Rattus norvegicus: one gene and its partners. The protein of the gene in region 3 interacts with the protein of the main gene of each other region in a pairwise test. Links are inferred from orthologs where the notes say so. Each region holds a gene or a part of one and is shown on either strand. Other genes may lie near its edges.

Region 1 (3,560 bases), on a different chromosome or scaffold from region 3:
CAACTCCTCCAGCTGGTTCAGAACTGGGGCCCGGGCCACAGAGAGAGAAGGGCAAGAGAAAGGTAGAGAGAGAGATGGAGCCAGAAAAAGGGACAGTCAGATGGACAAGTACAGTCAGAAAGAGAGGACACAGACATCAAAGGACCACAGGCCAAGGACCAAATGGCAGAGATTAGACAGAAGAGTGGTTCAGAGGAAAGCAACAGACCAGATACCACACAGAACAGATGGAGTAAAGACAAAGACAGAGTATGGGGAAGAGGTAAGGGAAAGACATTGAAAGACATGGGGTCGGGGTTGTCAGAACATCCCGTACTAGAAAAGGGAGGCTTAGGGGTCAGGATGATGGGGAGGAAATAGGAGGCATAGGGCAGTATGATTTAGGGACTCAGTTTTAATACATGATGGGGAGGGGGTTAAAGAGTCAGCATTCTGTAGAAGGACCTAAGGTTGGCAGAAGTCAGGTGCTACACCAGGCTCTGTTAGGGGGTTAGGATGGCTCTGGGACCTAACCCATAGTTATCAAGGTAGGAGGATATGGGCGAAAAGGCTGGGGGTCAAAAGCAAGCTTCATGGGGTCTGCCCAGAGGTAGATGGGCAGTCGTTTTCACTTCATGGGGTGAAGGAGATACAAAGAAAGTGACCTGTGGGTCAGAGCTAAGGACACACACACACACCAAGGCTATCAGGATCATGGCAGGTGCAACCTGTGGTCCCACTCACAGGGATCAGGTCCCACTTTATGAGGTGACTGGTACCCTACTGGTCACTGCTGTGAACCATATCAGGTATGGGCTTAGACAAGGGGTAAAGCTAAACCCCAAAAGGGTCAGAAGTGGGGTTAGAGGTCAGAGGGCAGTGGTTCAGAGGGTAGAGGGGTAAGGGGGCAGAGGGTGTGGGAAAGTTTTTAAGGGTGCGGGGTGAAGACTTACGCAGCGTTGTGGGCCCTCCCCCGCGCGGGGCCACCGCGGCCCTTACCCTTGTGCAGGACAGCGTTGGCTGGCTTGTTCCCTGCCAGCGACTCCTTGGAGAGGTGCTGGTGGCTCTCGGCTAGGCACTCGGCCTCGGCAAAGCGGGCGTGGAGGGCCATGGCGGGGTGCGCCGGCTCCTGTGACAGGTTCAGGTAGGCCGCCCGCCGCAGCTGCTCCTCGATCACCAGCGCCTGCTCCAGGAGCTAAGGGAACAGGATAGGGGTAAAGGCAGGTGAGTAGAAGGACTAACCTAGCACTAGAGAGCTACTCTGTCCCTGTTGCCCTGGAAACTCCAGCTGCACAGTGTGTGAGCCAGACCACAGTTCCCATCCATAGGTCCACTGGGTCTTAGCCACAGTGTTACCTCAGGTCTCGTGATGATACCATTCCTTCCAGCCCACGCTGAGCAAGGCCCTTCTTCACCCCACTTCTCTTCTTTCTCATCCTCACCTTGAACCTCCGGGCCAGGAATTTATTTTTCATCTCCAGGAAGTTCCCCTTATTGGCTTCCGTTTTAAATGGTTCATTAATAATGGCAAACTGAGCATCGTTCTGGATGTCTTGCCACCGGGCATAGCCATGGCTGCCAACAGAGCAAAGGAACTATCAAGGAATTTAACTGAATGGATGTGACTGTGAACATTTCTTATTGGCCAGATGTCCCCAGAATGTGGCACAAGCTTCCCCCGCCTGAGTGTGGACCCTTCTTCTCTGTAGTTCCCCTCTGCCCTGGCTAGTTTTTCTCAACCCGACAGAAGTTAGAATTATCTGGGAAGATGAACATCAGTGGAGAAAATTACTCCATAAGGTCGGGCTGTAGACAAACCTATGGGGCATTTTCTTAATCAATGATTGATGGGGGAGGGCCTAGACCACTGCAGGTGGTGCCCTCCCTGGGCTGGTGGTCCTGGGTTCTATAAGAAAGCAGGCTGAGCAAGCCACAGGGAGCAAGCCAGTAAGCAGCACCCCTCCATGGCCTCCGCATCAGCTCCTGCCTCCAGCCTCCTGCCTCTGTTCCTGCCCTAACTTCCCTGGAAGACGTGCTACAAATTGTAAGAAGAAATAAACCCTTTCCTCCCCAAGTTTCTTTCAGCCATGGTGTTTATCAAGCAGCAGAAACCCCACGGCACCTTCTCTCCTAGCTGAGAGACCCTTTGTGATCTTGCACATATGCAAAGGATACAGGACAATGCCAGCTAGAAGCCAGTAGTCATGTCTCCGGTGCCAGATCTCATTGAGTTTCCCCGAGGAAATAGCTGCTCTTTCCTCATTCTGCCACAGTGTGTGCAGCTCTGCAAAGAACAGAACGAATGCATCAGGTTTGTGGTCTGCATCACCCTGGGAACGTACACATGGAAATCTGAGTAAGGACAGAGTATTAAAGGCTCCTTAAGAGCTGTACGAGGGGCTGGAGGGTAGCTCAGTGCTTAGAAGCACTTGTCACTCATGCGAAGGACCAGACTTCAGGTCACAGCTCCAACAGGTAGCTCACAACCATCTGTCACTCCACTTACAGGGGATATACAGTACCATCTTCTGACCTCTAAAGGTACTGTACACATATGGTGCATACACATGCATGCAGGCAAACACTCATAACACATAAAATAAATCTGAAAAAATTAAATTACAAAAAGGCGAGAAACATTAAGTTAGGAAGTAAGGAGTAGAGTTAATTATGAACAGGCTCACGTTAAGATTAAGGCAAGAGAACTGTGTTAGAGACCAATGGGAGTTTGGTAGTAACTTAGGACTGTCGAGGCTCACTGTCAGCATGCACCAGTTCATTGAAAGTGTGTGGAATTAAATGGAGCAGGCAGCCTCAGACACAGTGACACAGTGAGGAGCAGGTAACAGACAACCTCCCACACCTGTGAAACCACCATCAGCAATGTTGAACATGAATCTTGGCTTCTCCACCTTCTCCTCACGGCGCCCATTGGGCCGTGGCTCATCCCGAGGAGGCCCAAGTCGAAGCTCCCGATCTGCTTTTACATCTTCTGCTAGGCCAAAGAGTGCAAAGCTCACACCTCAGGACTGCCTCCTTCTAAGTCCCAAGACTATTTAGTGCATCAACCGTACCGGCTCTCCCAACAGCTACCCACCCAAGACCCAGGCATCTGTCCCCAGATTCCAAGCCTCCCCAGATACCCAGATACCAGGACTTGGGTGTCCAGTCCTTCTGCCCATTACCTCTCTTGCCCAAATCCCCTGTCTCCCCCTCTGTCCTCTCCCTGTGTTCCTGTCCATCCAATGGCTTCTCCTCCCCCCTTTCTCCTGGCGTTGGCTCTGAGGCTGTGGGAAGAGTCAGAAGATGTGAAGACAGCTGTTACTTTCACCCCAGGTCCCGAAGAGTCAACTCCAAAACCCAAATCCCCATCACTGGTAGGACAATACACCCACCAGACTTTTCCCTGTCTCCTCGGTACCCAGGTTCAGGCTCTATCTCTCCAGGTACCCCTGGTGCATCATCCTCTAACAGAATCTTCCTATGTTCTAGCCGTTCTCCAAGTGATGGGGCAGGGCTGGGAGAATCAATCTAGTGGAGGACAGAGAGTCAAGTGAGCTAGAGAGTTCCTAGGCACTTTG
Region 2 (4,155 bases), on a different chromosome or scaffold from region 3:
ATTCCTTGAGCACATAAGCTAGACTATACCTGTGAGGAAACAATTTTATATCGATTGCTGTAGTGTAGAAAAATAAGAAGTGGATTTGGACTTGCACTCTAATCTCTCTGATCTCAAACATAAGAAACAGTTCTTGTATATAATGCTCAAAAATTACTTTTGACTATTAAGTCCATAAAAACCTGAATCTTGTATACGATCTGTGTGGCCTCTTATTTTGGGCCTCCTTTCCCTTATTTAAAGAATGCTGTTTAGAATATTAAACAGTAGTTTCATTGCCATTCATTCAGTAAGACTCGGTATCCAACATTTGCTTTTGGTGTTTTGAGAGGTCTTTTATGTAACCCTGGCTGTTCTGGAACATGCTGTGTAACCAGGCTGACCTTAAACTCGGCTGTTTGCCTCTACCTCCCAGATGCTAGGACCAGAGAGCATGAGCGGGGTTTTTGGGGTGTGTGTGTGTGTGTGTGTGTGTGTGTGTGTGTGTGTGTGTGTGTGTGTGTGTGAAATTCGGTTGGTTAAATTTTGTTTTTGTTTCTTGGGTTGGGTTTTGGATTTTGTTGGTTTTGTTTTGTGTGTGTGTGTTTCTAATGTCCTTGAGAGTTTTGCCTGCATGTCTGCACTACGTTCGTTCATGGTGTTGGTAAAAGTCAAAAGAGGGTGTCTGCTGCCCTGGAACTGGAGGTAGATGGTTGTGAGAAGGCGTGTGGATGCTGGCAATAGAACTCCAGGCCTCTGTAAGAGCAACAGTGCTCTTAACCACTGAGCCCTGTCTCCAGCCTGTTATCCCTGATTCTCAACCTAAATGTGATGATGAAAGCCATCTATTCCTGCTCCCCCCCCCCCAAAAAAAAACGATGGTCCATTAAAACCGGTACACGAATTGTTAGGGGGTGCAGAGGTTTCCAGCATAAATCCTTCATCCTGTTCTTGGGATTCTGGGTCTAATGTGAGGCCTGGATGCCCACTCCACAGCAGCTGCATGCAGGTCAGTCTGAGCTTTTCAGAACTAGGCGGTTTCAGAAGACCGCTAAGTGATCTTTGTTGGGATGAGACCTGAGCGTATTCCACGAAGTAACAAAGTGTGGCTTGGGTTGAGAAAAGCAGGTGAATTGGGGAGAACGGGCAGCAAGGGAGATTTGATGGCCAGGGTAGAATACAGCTGAGCCAAGGCCTCTCGGGCTGCGCTGGCGGCTCCCAGCAGAGGGCGCGGTGCGGTCCGGCCCGGGTACTGCAGTCCTCCGACGTGGATAGCGCTTCCCGGGCGAGGGCGGGGCTTCCGGCGGCTCGCGAGGTCACACGGTGTCTTGGCCCGGTCGTCCTTCCCTTTGCACGTGTCCACCCCGCGATGCTCCCTCTGCTGCGCTGCGTGCCCCGCGCCCTGGGTGCCGCCGCCACGGGCCTCCGAGCCTCCATCCCGGCCCCGCCGCTTCGGCATTTACTGCAGCCCGCGCCCCGGCCATGCCTCCGGCCCTTCGGTTTGCTCAGCGTACGAGCCGGCTCCGCTCGGCGCTCTGGCCTCCTGCAGCCCCCGGTTCCCTGCGCGTGCGGCTGCGGCGCTCTGCACACGGAAGGTAAGGTTCACGCACCCTAGTCGGAATGCGGCGATCCAGCTCGGAACTGGCCCTCATGATCGCAGGTTCCCCTTCTCGCGTCTTGAAAATGTGGCTTAGCAAAGTCGGTAGGGTCGTGGTTTCAAAGTGTGGTTGTTGGGTCCACGTCTTTTTGGACATGGAAGAGGATAGTTGGAAATTCTTTTGTTTTATACGGGAAGTAATAGTAATGAGTTCATGATGAGAAATAACCATCTCATGATAAGTAATATCAGTTCAGCTCAGTAAATATATCCTGGTGTTTTTATAGAGTGAGGAACGGACGTTTTGAGGCGTGATTTACGCTACAGTCTTAGAACAGCCTTAAGAATAGATTACACGCAGTCCGAGTCAATCGGTTAGAGCAACTACCTTTTCTCACTGTTGATCATTTTGGCCTTTCTTTTAGGAGACAAGGCCTTTGTTGAATTTTTGACTGATGAAATTAAGGAAGAAAAGAAGATCCAGAAGCATAAGTCCCTTCCCAAAATGTCTGGAGATTGGGAGCTGGAAGTGAACGGCACGGAGGCTAAATTATTGCGCAAAGTTGCCGGAGAAAAGTAAGTACTGGCCCAGGGGTTGTATACTGGATTCTCAAGTCAGAAGTTCCTGGTTACAGCATCCTGTTCTGACCATCCCCAGAAGAGCCTGAGCTTAGGCCCAATGCTTTGATAAAATGGCTTTAAGAAAGCATTAAACTTGGGAAAGTTCTTAGGTTCCAGGGAGTGCATTCACTGAATGAATACAAGCTTCTATGGCTTGTATTAAGGAGACCTGAAGCAGCTCCAGAGTATGTAGAGGGAAGCCTGTGGGAGGGGCAAACGCAGTTATTGGGTTATTAATGAGGGGTGCTGTGCCAGTCTGGATTAAGCATTGGGTTGTTGTTTTGTTGTTTAATAGTACTGGTAAATCATTTGTTTAGAACTCCCGTCTGGCTTGTGTTTATAATAGTTGAAAGTGCACGTGTGTAACTGTTAAGTCACAGGAAGAAGTTACCATGTAGAAAGGCCATCAGACAAAGGGAGAAGGTTCTTAGCCAAACTTAGCTCTTCCTCTCCTCAAGGGATTCGGTTTGAGACAAGGTCTCTGTGTGGCTGCTGTGTAGCATAGACTGGGCTCAGACTCTGGGTCCTGCTGCTTCAGACACCTGTGTGCTGAGGTTGCAGACATGCGCCACCACACCTGGCACCCCTAAAACCGTTAAACCCTTGTCTGTGCTGTTTCGTGTTACCCATTCACCCACAGTCTTCCTTGGCTAAGTCTACTTGGACTCTTAAGTGCTTCTCTAGCTTGTGTGAGGCTCCAGGATCCATCCCCAGTGCTTCAGGAGCACAGTGTACAAGAAAGTTTTATTGGGGGTGCGGGGGTTTATAAGCTTAGCAGTAAGTGTGTGTGTGTAGATTAGAAAGTTCAAGGCCAGGCTGAGTGTCGGTGGGGCTCACCGCCTTTAATTCTATCACCCTGGGAGGCATAGACAGGTAGATTTCTGTAAGTTCAAAGCCAGCCTGGTCCACCAGCAAGTACTAAGACAGCCAAGGCTACACAAATAAGTCCTGTCTTGAAAAACCAAAATAAGAGAGGGAAGGAGGGAGGGAAGGAAGAAGTAGGTTTAGTCTGGGCTATCGCAGGTTGTACATGCCCTTTGGTTCACCTTGCCATTCTTTTTTCGGGGGCAAAGTGGCAGCAAGGCATTGCCCAGTTGGACTCCAGGGAGCAGCCCCCAGTACACTCTTCTTGGGTTGGTTGGCCCTCTGAATCTGTGTAAGCGGAACTTCTTTTCCAGGTGTTGAGACAAAGGAACTGTCTCTGACTTTAGAACAGGTGCTGTCCATCACATAAGAATTCTTACAGTCACACAAGGGCCAGGGTGCAGCTGTGAACTTCCGCCAAGCATGGGCAGGGTACTTATTTGAGCTCCAGAATCCCCCCAGAAGGGAAAGAAGCCACTAGGTGTTTCAGTTCCTAGTTTGTGGTTGTGCAAAGTGAATCTGCTCTGCAGTGGCTGTGAGGCTTTCCGGGGCAGATGGCTGTCCACCTCCATTAGCTTCCATGGGAAGACCCCAGGACACCAACCTGGCAGCTTCATCCACAGCTGTAGTCATTTAACTTGTAGGTACACTTCAGATGAAATTCTCTTCACTTCCCTGTGTGGCTAGGATGGAGACATTGTTTCAGTGGGCCTTGCTCTCCTGTTACCACTAGGTTAATGTGTACCTTGGTGTATCTCTACCTGCCTTTCTAGGATCACTGTCACTTTCAACATTAACAATAGCATCCCTCCAACCTTTGATGGTGAAGAGGAGCCCTCACAGGGGCAGAAGGCCGAAGAGCAGGAGGTAAGCAGTGACATGGCAGACAGCCAAGATTTCTGTCCCCAAAAGCAAGAACTGTTTCACTTTCACTCTTTTTAAAATCCTCCCTGCTAGGGTGAGGTGAAGGGTGAGCCTCCTGAGACCTGTAATGCAGTCATTCCGAGTGAGTTTTAGCTGGAGTTGTGGATGGACCATGTTTGTAGAGTGTTGTCCCCTAAGGGCTTAGGGTTTATCACGGGCCTGTGCCCTCA
Region 3 (4,221 bases):
ATGAAGGTCTAAGTATAGTAGCTTACAATACCAAAACAGCACTGTGCCTGTGTGTATGCATGTGTGCATGCACGTATGCATGCGCAATGTGCTTGTGAGTCCAGAAGACAGAGAGAAACCCTGAGTGTTCATTCACCTCTGAACAGCCCCTCTTACTTTCTGAGTCCAGGTTTCTCTCTGGGAATCTGGGCTCATGGATTCAAGCAGGGATGGAGCTCATATCCTCATCATGTTTTCGAGACAAACATTTTCTGATTGATCTATCTCCCTGGTCCCACGCTGTATATAAATGCATAGTGTCAATCATAAGAAAAATAAGGGGCCCTTCCACTAACTTAACTTCATACATTTCTGAGACTGCTTGAAATTTCTGTAACAAGAGCTGGGGGTTCAAGCTCATAGTAGATCACTTACACAATACGAATGGAACCCTGGGCTCATCATAACAAGAACTTTTTTCGGAGCTGAGGACTGAACCCAGGGCCTTGCATTTGCTAGGCAAGCCCTCTACCACTGAGCTAAATCCCCAACCCTAAGAATATTTTTAATTTTAAAAGAGACCTAAAGGGCTGGAGAGATGGCTCAGAGGTTAAGAGCACTGACTGTTCTTCCAGAGGTCCTGAGTTCAATTCCCAGCAACCATGTGGTGGCTCACAACCATCTGTAATGGGATCTGATGCCCTCTTCTGGTGTGTCTGAAGACAGTGACAGTGTACTCATATACATTAAATAAATAAATAAATAAATCTTAAAAAAAAAGACTAAAGAAAAACTTCAGCCAGTGTGTGTTGCACACCTTTAATCCCGGCACTCAGGAATCTCAGCACTTGGGAGACAGATCCAAGCATATCTCTGAGTTAGAGGATAGACTGGTCTACAAAGAGAGTCCCAGAACAGCACAGAGAAAGCCTGTCTCAAAAAACCAAAACAAACAAAAACAACAATACTTTAACAGTAGTAACTGGTACTCTTCCAAAAGCTAGTATATTTTCACTTGATAAAAAAAGTAAATAGTAAAACATTTGGTCTTACTCAATTCCTTCCCTCCTATTTTTTCTAAATACATTTAGGAGAAACTCAATATAAAATGTACAGTATGGTGCATTTCCATCTTAAAAGGAGTCCTAAATTCACTGAGGTATCCATCTTCATTAATGATTTTCTGAATCTCAACCAATGTCTCAAATGAACTTTACAGATAAAGGTAAACATTATCTATCTGTACCAGCTAAAGCCAGAAGTGGAAAGGGCAGTTTTTCTCAAGTTAGGACAAGGCAATAATGCCCACATGAACACATCCCTACCTGGTGGTCAAACTACACTCTAATCACAACATCCCTTCTTGCCAACCTTAAGACTATAAACTTAATACGGGAAAACGGGGAGTTCATTTGGCAAAAGCTTGGCTGCAAAAGCCTTGACGCAGCTCAGGTGACAGCCACGAAGTCTGAAGCAGCCTCCCACGCAGACAGTACACCCAGCAGAGGGCTGACCCTTCTACTTAAGCAGAAAGGGTAACTTTGAGCATTCGGCTTGCAAAGGTTAAAACTGCTTCTAGCAAAAACAGTATTCAATCCATCACAAATTACGCGTCCCACATACACTATTTGTTCCACCTGCAATCGATGTCTGCTAACGCCTGGAGGCTACAGTATGAAGATTGAGAAAAGGACTAAGGCGCAGAGGAGCCGGAACCCCAAGCCCACCCCACTCACCCTGGGCTCAAGTCTGCCTTCCCGGAGCTTCCACACCTGCGGGTGCCCAGGCCTCCCTGAATTTAAAGGCCCAGAGTCTGGGATCCCTGAAGGTTTTAGCAGTGCATCGCCTACAGAGCTGAGCCCCGCAGAGGCCGGCAGGATGAAGGATGCAGCTAGCTGCAGATGTGGGGATCCCAGCTGCGCAACCCTCAGGCTGTCAGTCCTGGTCCCTACACGGAACTAGGAATGTCAGGAGGGTGACCCCAGAAGAGTCACACCATGTCTTTTTGCCCATCAAGAACCTCCAGCTCGGCCCACCGGGAACGGGTGGATAGGAACGACCCCACCCCCAACCCTCCAGGGAGTGTGATTCCCACCCCCTCCTCGTGGATAGAGGGTGACCAAAGGCCCTGTCCACCAAGATTCAGTGCTCTGCTCACTGTACCCGTCTGGGATGAGCCCAGCGAGAGTGAAACCCTGGCCCCTCCACTGAGAAAGGGTCACTGGGGAAAGTGACCACCCAGGAGGATGGCCCTAAAGGGTCATGACCCCTCAAAAGTGGCTCCCGAGAGTGATCCCTGGAAACGTGACCCCGAGAGAATTATTATCTTGAAGGGTGGCCCCGGTCCCTGCGCCCATCAGGACACCCAGCTCTGATTCGCCCACGCGGGACCGAGCTAGCGGCTGGAGGGGTGACCTCGGTGCCCGCGGCGTACCTGGCGGCTGAGGGCCCCCGGGGCTGTCTGGCTGCTGTGCGCTGGACACCGCGAGGCTCTTGCGCTCCTTCTGCGACTCCCTGCGGCCGGCCGCGCCGGGCCTGTGTCCTGAGGCCACGGCAGGGCTCCTGCCGCCACGGTGCCCAGCCCCGCTGGCCGCCGCCGCCTCATCGCGACGCTTGCGCTGCAGCTGCTGCTGGCGCCGGTGCTCGGCCTCCCGCAGGATGTCGAACGGGTCCGACTCGTCGTCCAGCAGCTGATGGAAGCGGTTGGCCACGACGCAGCCGAACGTCTCCTGCATCGCGGCGCCCGCGGCGGCTACCGGGCTCCCCAGGGCCCCCTTCATGACGCCACCGCTGCGGGCGCCGCGGGCAGCCCAGGCCAGTGAGGTTCAGCGAAGCCGCGGGCGAGGACCCATGCTGCTGCCGCCGCCGCCGCACTCCCGGCCCCGCGGTCGGCTCCTCCCCGCCTGCGCGCCCCAGCCAATCAGCGCTGATAGACACGCCCTTCGGCCCCGGCGCGCACGGAGACCCAATGGGCGGCCGGTGTCTGTGACGTCACGCCCCACTTTATCCCTCCCACTCCAGGCCTGTGGGCGTGGTGGTCCGAGGCTGGGGCGGAGCTATCACGAGATACCCAGGGAAGCTGCCTGTGTTCTCTCGCCGGTGTGCGCCAGAGGGGAAGCCTAGTTGTGCACCGCCATACTTCACCTAAGTGACCTCGTCACGAGCCTTTCAGCGGCTTGCGTGGCCGGGAGAGAGCTGTAGACTGAGGGAAAGTGCCTAGAGGAGAGGCAGCGTTCTCAGCTGGGAGCTGACCCAGTCAAGAAGCTTGGAGAGACTTGAGCTTCAAGAGGTGTGACAGGGACAGGAGACCAAAACAGCCCATTCAAGCGCAAAGAAATAACCCCAGACCCACTGTGATGTTGTGATGAGTGCGGGAGTGGATGGGGTGAGGTTTAGATAGTGGTTGTTTTCTTTTGAGACATTCAGTTAAGGCCTGGCTTCTGGGAAATCAAACTCCAAAGTAGATGTCAGGTTTGCTGGCGAGTGCCTTTGCCCTCTGAGCCATCACTCTCCTGAAAATTAATTTTGTAAGTTAGCATTAAAAGTAATGGTTTTTATGTTATATAGGTGTGTTCATATGTATGTATATATACATGTCTATGTCATTGCACTTCGTTCTAAACTGTCCTCCTCCCTCATTGCCCTCCATAATGCCACCCCTGCCTGCTGGTTTCCTTCCTCTCTCTCAAGTAGTTTTCACTTCACAGCACATGTGAAAGGAATAATTAAATACAGGTGTTAAAAGGTCTGAGTTTTACTGTTTTCCCACTTGCCTGTGCAAAGAAATCAAAAGTGATTTTTGTCTCAAATTGTGATTTCCTGGGCTTGCATTCAGGGAGATCATAGGTTCTCAGTAAATTGTCAGATAGCTAGATATTTTAAGATCTTTCTTTGAATTAAAGATTAGTGCCTGTATATTTTAACCAAAATTGGAAACAGGTATTTAGATGAAATTTTGTATTATTCTCAGAGGTGCTATTCACAATAGCCAGGAGGAAGAAACAACCCAAATGCTCACTAACTGGGTGATGGATAAATAAAATGTGGTACAGCAGCAGCTAGGTTTGGAGTGGGGCAGAAAAGAACAAGTGTTAGCACACACTACAGCACAGATGAACCTTGGAACATTGTGTGAGAAAGGGTTAGGTGATATAAGGGATGGGTAAATCCACAGGTTTTAATTACCTTTGCATTGCTGCACCCACAATATCAGACAGAAACAAGGCAAAGATTTATGTGGTG
Region 4 (4,360 bases), on a different chromosome or scaffold from region 3:
CTTCCCTAAGAGGGGCAACGGCACTCCTGCACTCCCTTCTCAGAAGCACAATCTTTAGGCCAACAGACCAGGGGCAAAGCCACCTGTCAAGCCTGCTGACATTTGAGTCCTAAGGTGACCCCAGAGCTCACCCACTCATTACTCATGGAGCACAGGACCAGGCACAGCTCAGAAACAGCCTCTGGATTTCAGCAAAGCAACTCAGATGGCATGTTGTGGTCATCACTGTTGGGCCTGGCTTGTAACCCCTCAAACACATCTCTAGGAGATAGGTGAGAGACTTAAGATCATTTAAACCTTAGGGCAGTTATGAGAGACATCTGGGTATCTGCTCATGTGCCAAGACCCTGCCCAACTGATGCCGTGGTTTGGGTTTCCACAGCTCAACCTAATATGGGATTAAAGGGGGAAAAGAAGGCCTTTTAACCCCAGCAGTCTGGAAGCACATGATCTCATGCAGGTCTACCTACACAGAAACCCACAAACAAACAATCCCTCCAACTCCTCTGAGCCCCATGCCAGTCCAGTCACAAGGTAGCAGGCACACAAAGTTTAAAAACAAAATCCCAGACAGGGCTAACAATACACAAGAGAAAGTGCCAGGTGGTAGTAGTACACACCTAGGAATCAGATCACCTGAGGCCACCAGGACCACACAGTGATGAACGCACCCTAAAAACAGCCCCCAGGGGGTGGGAGACAGCCCTGGACGCCGTCCCTACCACCCTTACCCCTTTACCTGGACAGTGTACTTGCAGACACCCAGAGTATTCCATAACTTAATGGTCTTGTCTCGGGACCCAGAGACAATCTGCCGGTTGTCAGAGGAGAAAGCCACGCTCAGCACATCCTTGGTGTGGCCGACAAATCGTCTCGTGGTAGTGCCCCTAAGAGGGAGAACCTGGTCACTTTCTAGACAGGTTTCACCCATCCAGTTAGATCCTTTTCCTAGCCCCACCCTTACCCTGTAGGCTCTATTATACTCCACAGTCCACAAGTGGTTCAGAACCTACTATTAGCCCATGTCTGATATGTACCAGAGAACCCATTCAGAATTGCAGGACATGTCCTCATTCCCTTGTGGGGATTGGTTGACAATGTCTCCTTGTCATCACTAGGATCCTCTATTACATCTGCCAATGTCCATCTGCCAATGTCCATCTAAGACAACTTACAACCCGAGACAACTTAATAGCCCATGGTACCCAGTTAAAAAAAAAAAAAGCAGCTCCAAGGGAAGCCTAACACCCCAAAATGTTGCCTTCCCTCAAACAAAAGGACTGATTACCAAGGGAAGACCACACCCTGGGGAATCTACCTCACTTTTGCCCACCTTCCCCCAAGGCCCCAAAGCAGCTACTTGCGTTGTGAGATCCCAGAGGCGTAGGGTTCCATCCCAGGAGCCTGAGAGGGCAAACTGGCCATCAGAGGAGATGACAACATCGCTAACAAAGTGGGAGTGACCTCGAAGAGCACGTTGTGGTATGCCGTAGTTGGTCTCATCCCTGGTCAGCTTCCACATGATGATGGTCTTGTCTAAAAAGGTTGGTAAAGAAATCTCATGAGGACCCCCAAAACCTACTACTTACCACGCACAAGTTACAGTCCTAAGGTCACTGGTGTGGTAAATGGCAGAAAAACGGCAAATTTGAAGTAAAAGAGGCTCACTATTCCACAGAGACGTAGATCTAAGCTGTAATCTGAGATGATGGGCAACACACTTCCTGGAGTTGAGATTTAAGTTCAACATAAAAAAACTTATTTAATGTGGCTCCCTACGTGTGTGTGTGTACGCGCGCGCACACTATATGTGTCTATGGTGTTCAAACTCTAGCCTTATCCATCGATGCGGCTAACTCAATAGCAAAAGCACTGTCACTTGGGTGTAGGATGAGCAGAGACACTTTCCCGCCTCGGAGAGTTAACAGAAAGGCAGCAGTTACGGCAGCATCATACACAGTCCTAGCCACGACCATTTCGACTTACACAGAAACCAACAGAAAGCCCGATAAGCCTAGCATTAATTAGGTAGGAGAGAGAGGACGAACATAATTTTGGGCAAGTAGGGAGGACCTGAGAGGGAAAAATACATGGAGACATATCATGAAAGAAAAAATAGCATTAGTTACAAGGAAAGAAAATCTAGGGCAGGACGGGCAAGCCCGGAATTCTGGGGAACAAGGCACCTAGAGTTCAGGGCCAGGCGGTGGCAGCTCAGAAACAGCCTCTGGATTTCAGCAAAGCAACTCAGATGGCATGTTGGGGTCATCATTGCTCCGCCTGGCTTGTAGCCACGTAATTACTTCGTTAACACATCTCCAGAAAGCAAGCGAGAGATGCATTAAAATCGCCATGCTGTGCACTTGCGTGACAAGTCCCGGTTTCCGTTCATATGTAAAGGGTCGCCCCGGTTGGGGCCCATGTTCGGGTCTGCACGCCCCAACTCACACCTGGGTCGGGGAACGGACCGAGCCAGCCAACACGAGCGCCACTTGCTTAGCCACGAGACATGCAGTCACCAGGACACAGGGTGTTTCACCCGGCATGCAGCCCCGTACCTCGAGACGCCGACAGGATCATGTCCGGGAACTGCGGAGTGGTGGCGATCTGTGTAACCCATCCATTATGGCCCTTGAGGGTCCCACGAAGGGTCATTTGCTCGGTCATGGCTGCAGATGTTGCGAGTGTCGCCGCAGCGACAAGGATGGCACCGGATAGCTTAGGGAGCCAAGCACCGCAGCGGCTGCCACCGCGACCCTGCGGAGAAAAAGAAAGAGCGGCCTCCGCCGGAACCGGAAATACTCGGAGAGCAAGGCGGGGATTCCCATGATTCACTGCTGCCCAAAGATGGCTGCACTATGAAGTGGGAGGAACTGGAGAAGTAGATCGCAGTATCGTCGTTTCTTCTGCCACGCAACATACAGGCAGCGCTGTACAAATGCATTCTGAAGCCAGGTGCACCAGGTTTTTAGAAAGGCTTCTCGGAAGATTAAAACATGCCGTGGAAGCAGAAGTGAGGCTAAACGGCACATTACCGAACTACAGCGGCTCACCGCCCCTACGTGGCACTGACGGAGCTCCGCCCTTTCCGCTTCGTGTTTAGTTCTCGGTTGGAGACCGCGGCTTTAACTTTGACTTACGGAAGTACAATTAAAGTTGCAGTTAAAGGAGTATGCCACGAAATTTGGCCTTTTTTGTTTTAAGGCAAGGTTTCATGTAGTGAAGGCTAGTCTTAAACTGGCTATGTTGCCAAGGATGTCTTCTGTCTCCCAAGAACCGGGCCGCTGCCGGGCGAGGCTATAGAGAAAGTGCTGGGTTAAGATTTATGGGGATTGGAAGCCCTTTCTGTGCTTCTGATCACTCCTCAGAAAAGCCTGCTAGTCCGTCTTGTGTAGCCCTGAAAGAAGTGAACCTGGACAGGGAAGAAGAGGAACACTGATAATCTAGCAACCTGATGACCCTCCCCTCAACACTTGTTTGAATTATTTAGTGTCTCCAAATGTCACAGATCTCTCAAAAAATTTTAACTTTACGTTTTAAAATTGGGGGTTGGGGATTTAGCTCAGTGGTAGAGCGCTTGCCTAGCAAGCACAAGGCCCTGGGTTCGGTCCCCAGCTCCTAAAAAAAAAAAAAAGAAAAAGGAAAAAAAAACTTAAAATTATTTGTGTGTGAGTGCGCTTGTGATCGTCACAGTGCACAGGTTGAAGTCAGGAATTTTCTTTTCTGCCATGCGTGCTCCTCTTGCTCAGCTTAAATATTTTTTAAAAAGGAGCACAGGTCAGGAAGGTAACCAACCACTAATGTCTATATGAACTAAATGATACATTTAATTATTTTAGTGCTATGGGTTGAACTCCCACATGTGAGGAAAATGCCTTATGGAGTTACATCTACCCCCTCGTGCCCCGCCCCCATCTCTCAATCTTGTTTAGTTTTTGTTTGTTCGTTTTTGAGACAGTCTCACTATGTAAAAGACTTAGCTGGTCTGGAACTCAGAGATCACCTGCCTGTGAGTGCTGGGAATGCAGGGATTAAAGGCATTTGTCGGGCTGAAGAGATGCTTCAGCAGTTAAGAGCATTAGCTGCATTTCTAAGAGGACTTGGGTTAGTTCACCAACATCCACATGGCAGCTCACAACTGTCACAACAACTCCAGAGGCTCCAACCACCTCATACAGACGCACATGTAAGCAAAACACCAGTGCACATAACATAAAAATAAATCATAAGAAAAAAAAACAGTTAAGTGGAATTCATCACCACATTCAACCTTATTTTGATACAGGATCTGCATAGCTCAAATTGGCCTTAAATTTATGATTTCCCCCGCTTCCTCAGCCTGCCAGGTAACTGGGATTAT

What was found.
Region 1: the proteins of Habp4 (region 3) and Chd3 interact in a two-hybrid assay, tested with the Homo sapiens proteins (3 studies listed by BioGRID and IntAct). The link is inferred for Rattus norvegicus from reciprocal best matches to the Homo sapiens genes HABP4 and CHD3.
Region 2: the proteins of Habp4 (region 3) and C1qbp interact in a two-hybrid assay, tested with the Homo sapiens proteins (2 studies listed by BioGRID and IntAct). The link is inferred for Rattus norvegicus from reciprocal best matches to the Homo sapiens genes HABP4 and C1QBP.
Region 4: the proteins of Habp4 (region 3) and Rack1 interact in a two-hybrid assay, tested with the Homo sapiens proteins (2 studies listed by BioGRID). The link is inferred for Rattus norvegicus from reciprocal best matches to the Homo sapiens genes HABP4 and RACK1.

What each region holds. Positions count from the first base shown.
Region 1 is NC_086028.1:54,564,770-54,568,329, forward strand, and holds part of Chd3 (chromodomain-helicase-DNA-binding protein 3), read right to left. Parts: intron 3,511-3,560; coding exon 3,375-3,510; intron 3,267-3,374; coding exon 3,165-3,266; intron 2,975-3,164; coding exon of another isoform or gene 2,972-2,974; coding exon 2,843-2,971; intron 2,264-2,842; coding exon 2,155-2,263; intron 1,555-2,154; coding exon 1,422-1,554; intron 1,175-1,421; coding exon 979-1,174; coding exon of another isoform or gene 933-978; intron 24-932; coding exon 1-23.
Region 2 is NC_086028.1:56,200,378-56,204,532, reverse strand, and holds the start of C1qbp (complement component 1 Q subcomponent-binding protein, mitochondrial precursor), read left to right. Parts: upstream 1-1,347; 5' UTR 1,348-1,348; coding exon 1,349-1,574; intron 1,575-2,001; coding exon 2,002-2,152; intron 2,153-3,834; coding exon 3,835-3,928; intron 3,929-4,155.
Region 3 is NC_086035.1:960,460-964,680, forward strand, and holds the start of Habp4 (intracellular hyaluronan-binding protein 4), read right to left. Parts: upstream 2,842-4,221; 5' UTR 2,760-2,841; coding exon 2,414-2,759; intron 1-2,413. UniProt on the Homo sapiens protein: Ribosome-binding protein that promotes ribosome hibernation, a process during which ribosomes are stabilized in an inactive state and preserved from proteasomal degradation.
Region 4 is NC_086028.1:33,668,990-33,673,349, reverse strand, and holds the start of Rack1 (small ribosomal subunit protein RACK1), read right to left. Parts: upstream 2,801-4,360; 5' UTR 2,668-2,800; coding exon 2,559-2,667; intron 2,279-2,558; exon of another isoform or gene 2,211-2,278; intron 1,537-2,210; coding exon 1,365-1,536; intron 1,123-1,364; exon of another isoform or gene 1,043-1,122; intron 888-1,042; coding exon 740-887; intron 233-739; exon of another isoform or gene 165-232; intron 1-164. UniProt on the Homo sapiens protein: Scaffolding protein involved in the recruitment, assembly and/or regulation of a variety of signaling molecules. Interacts with a wide variety of proteins and plays a role in many cellular processes.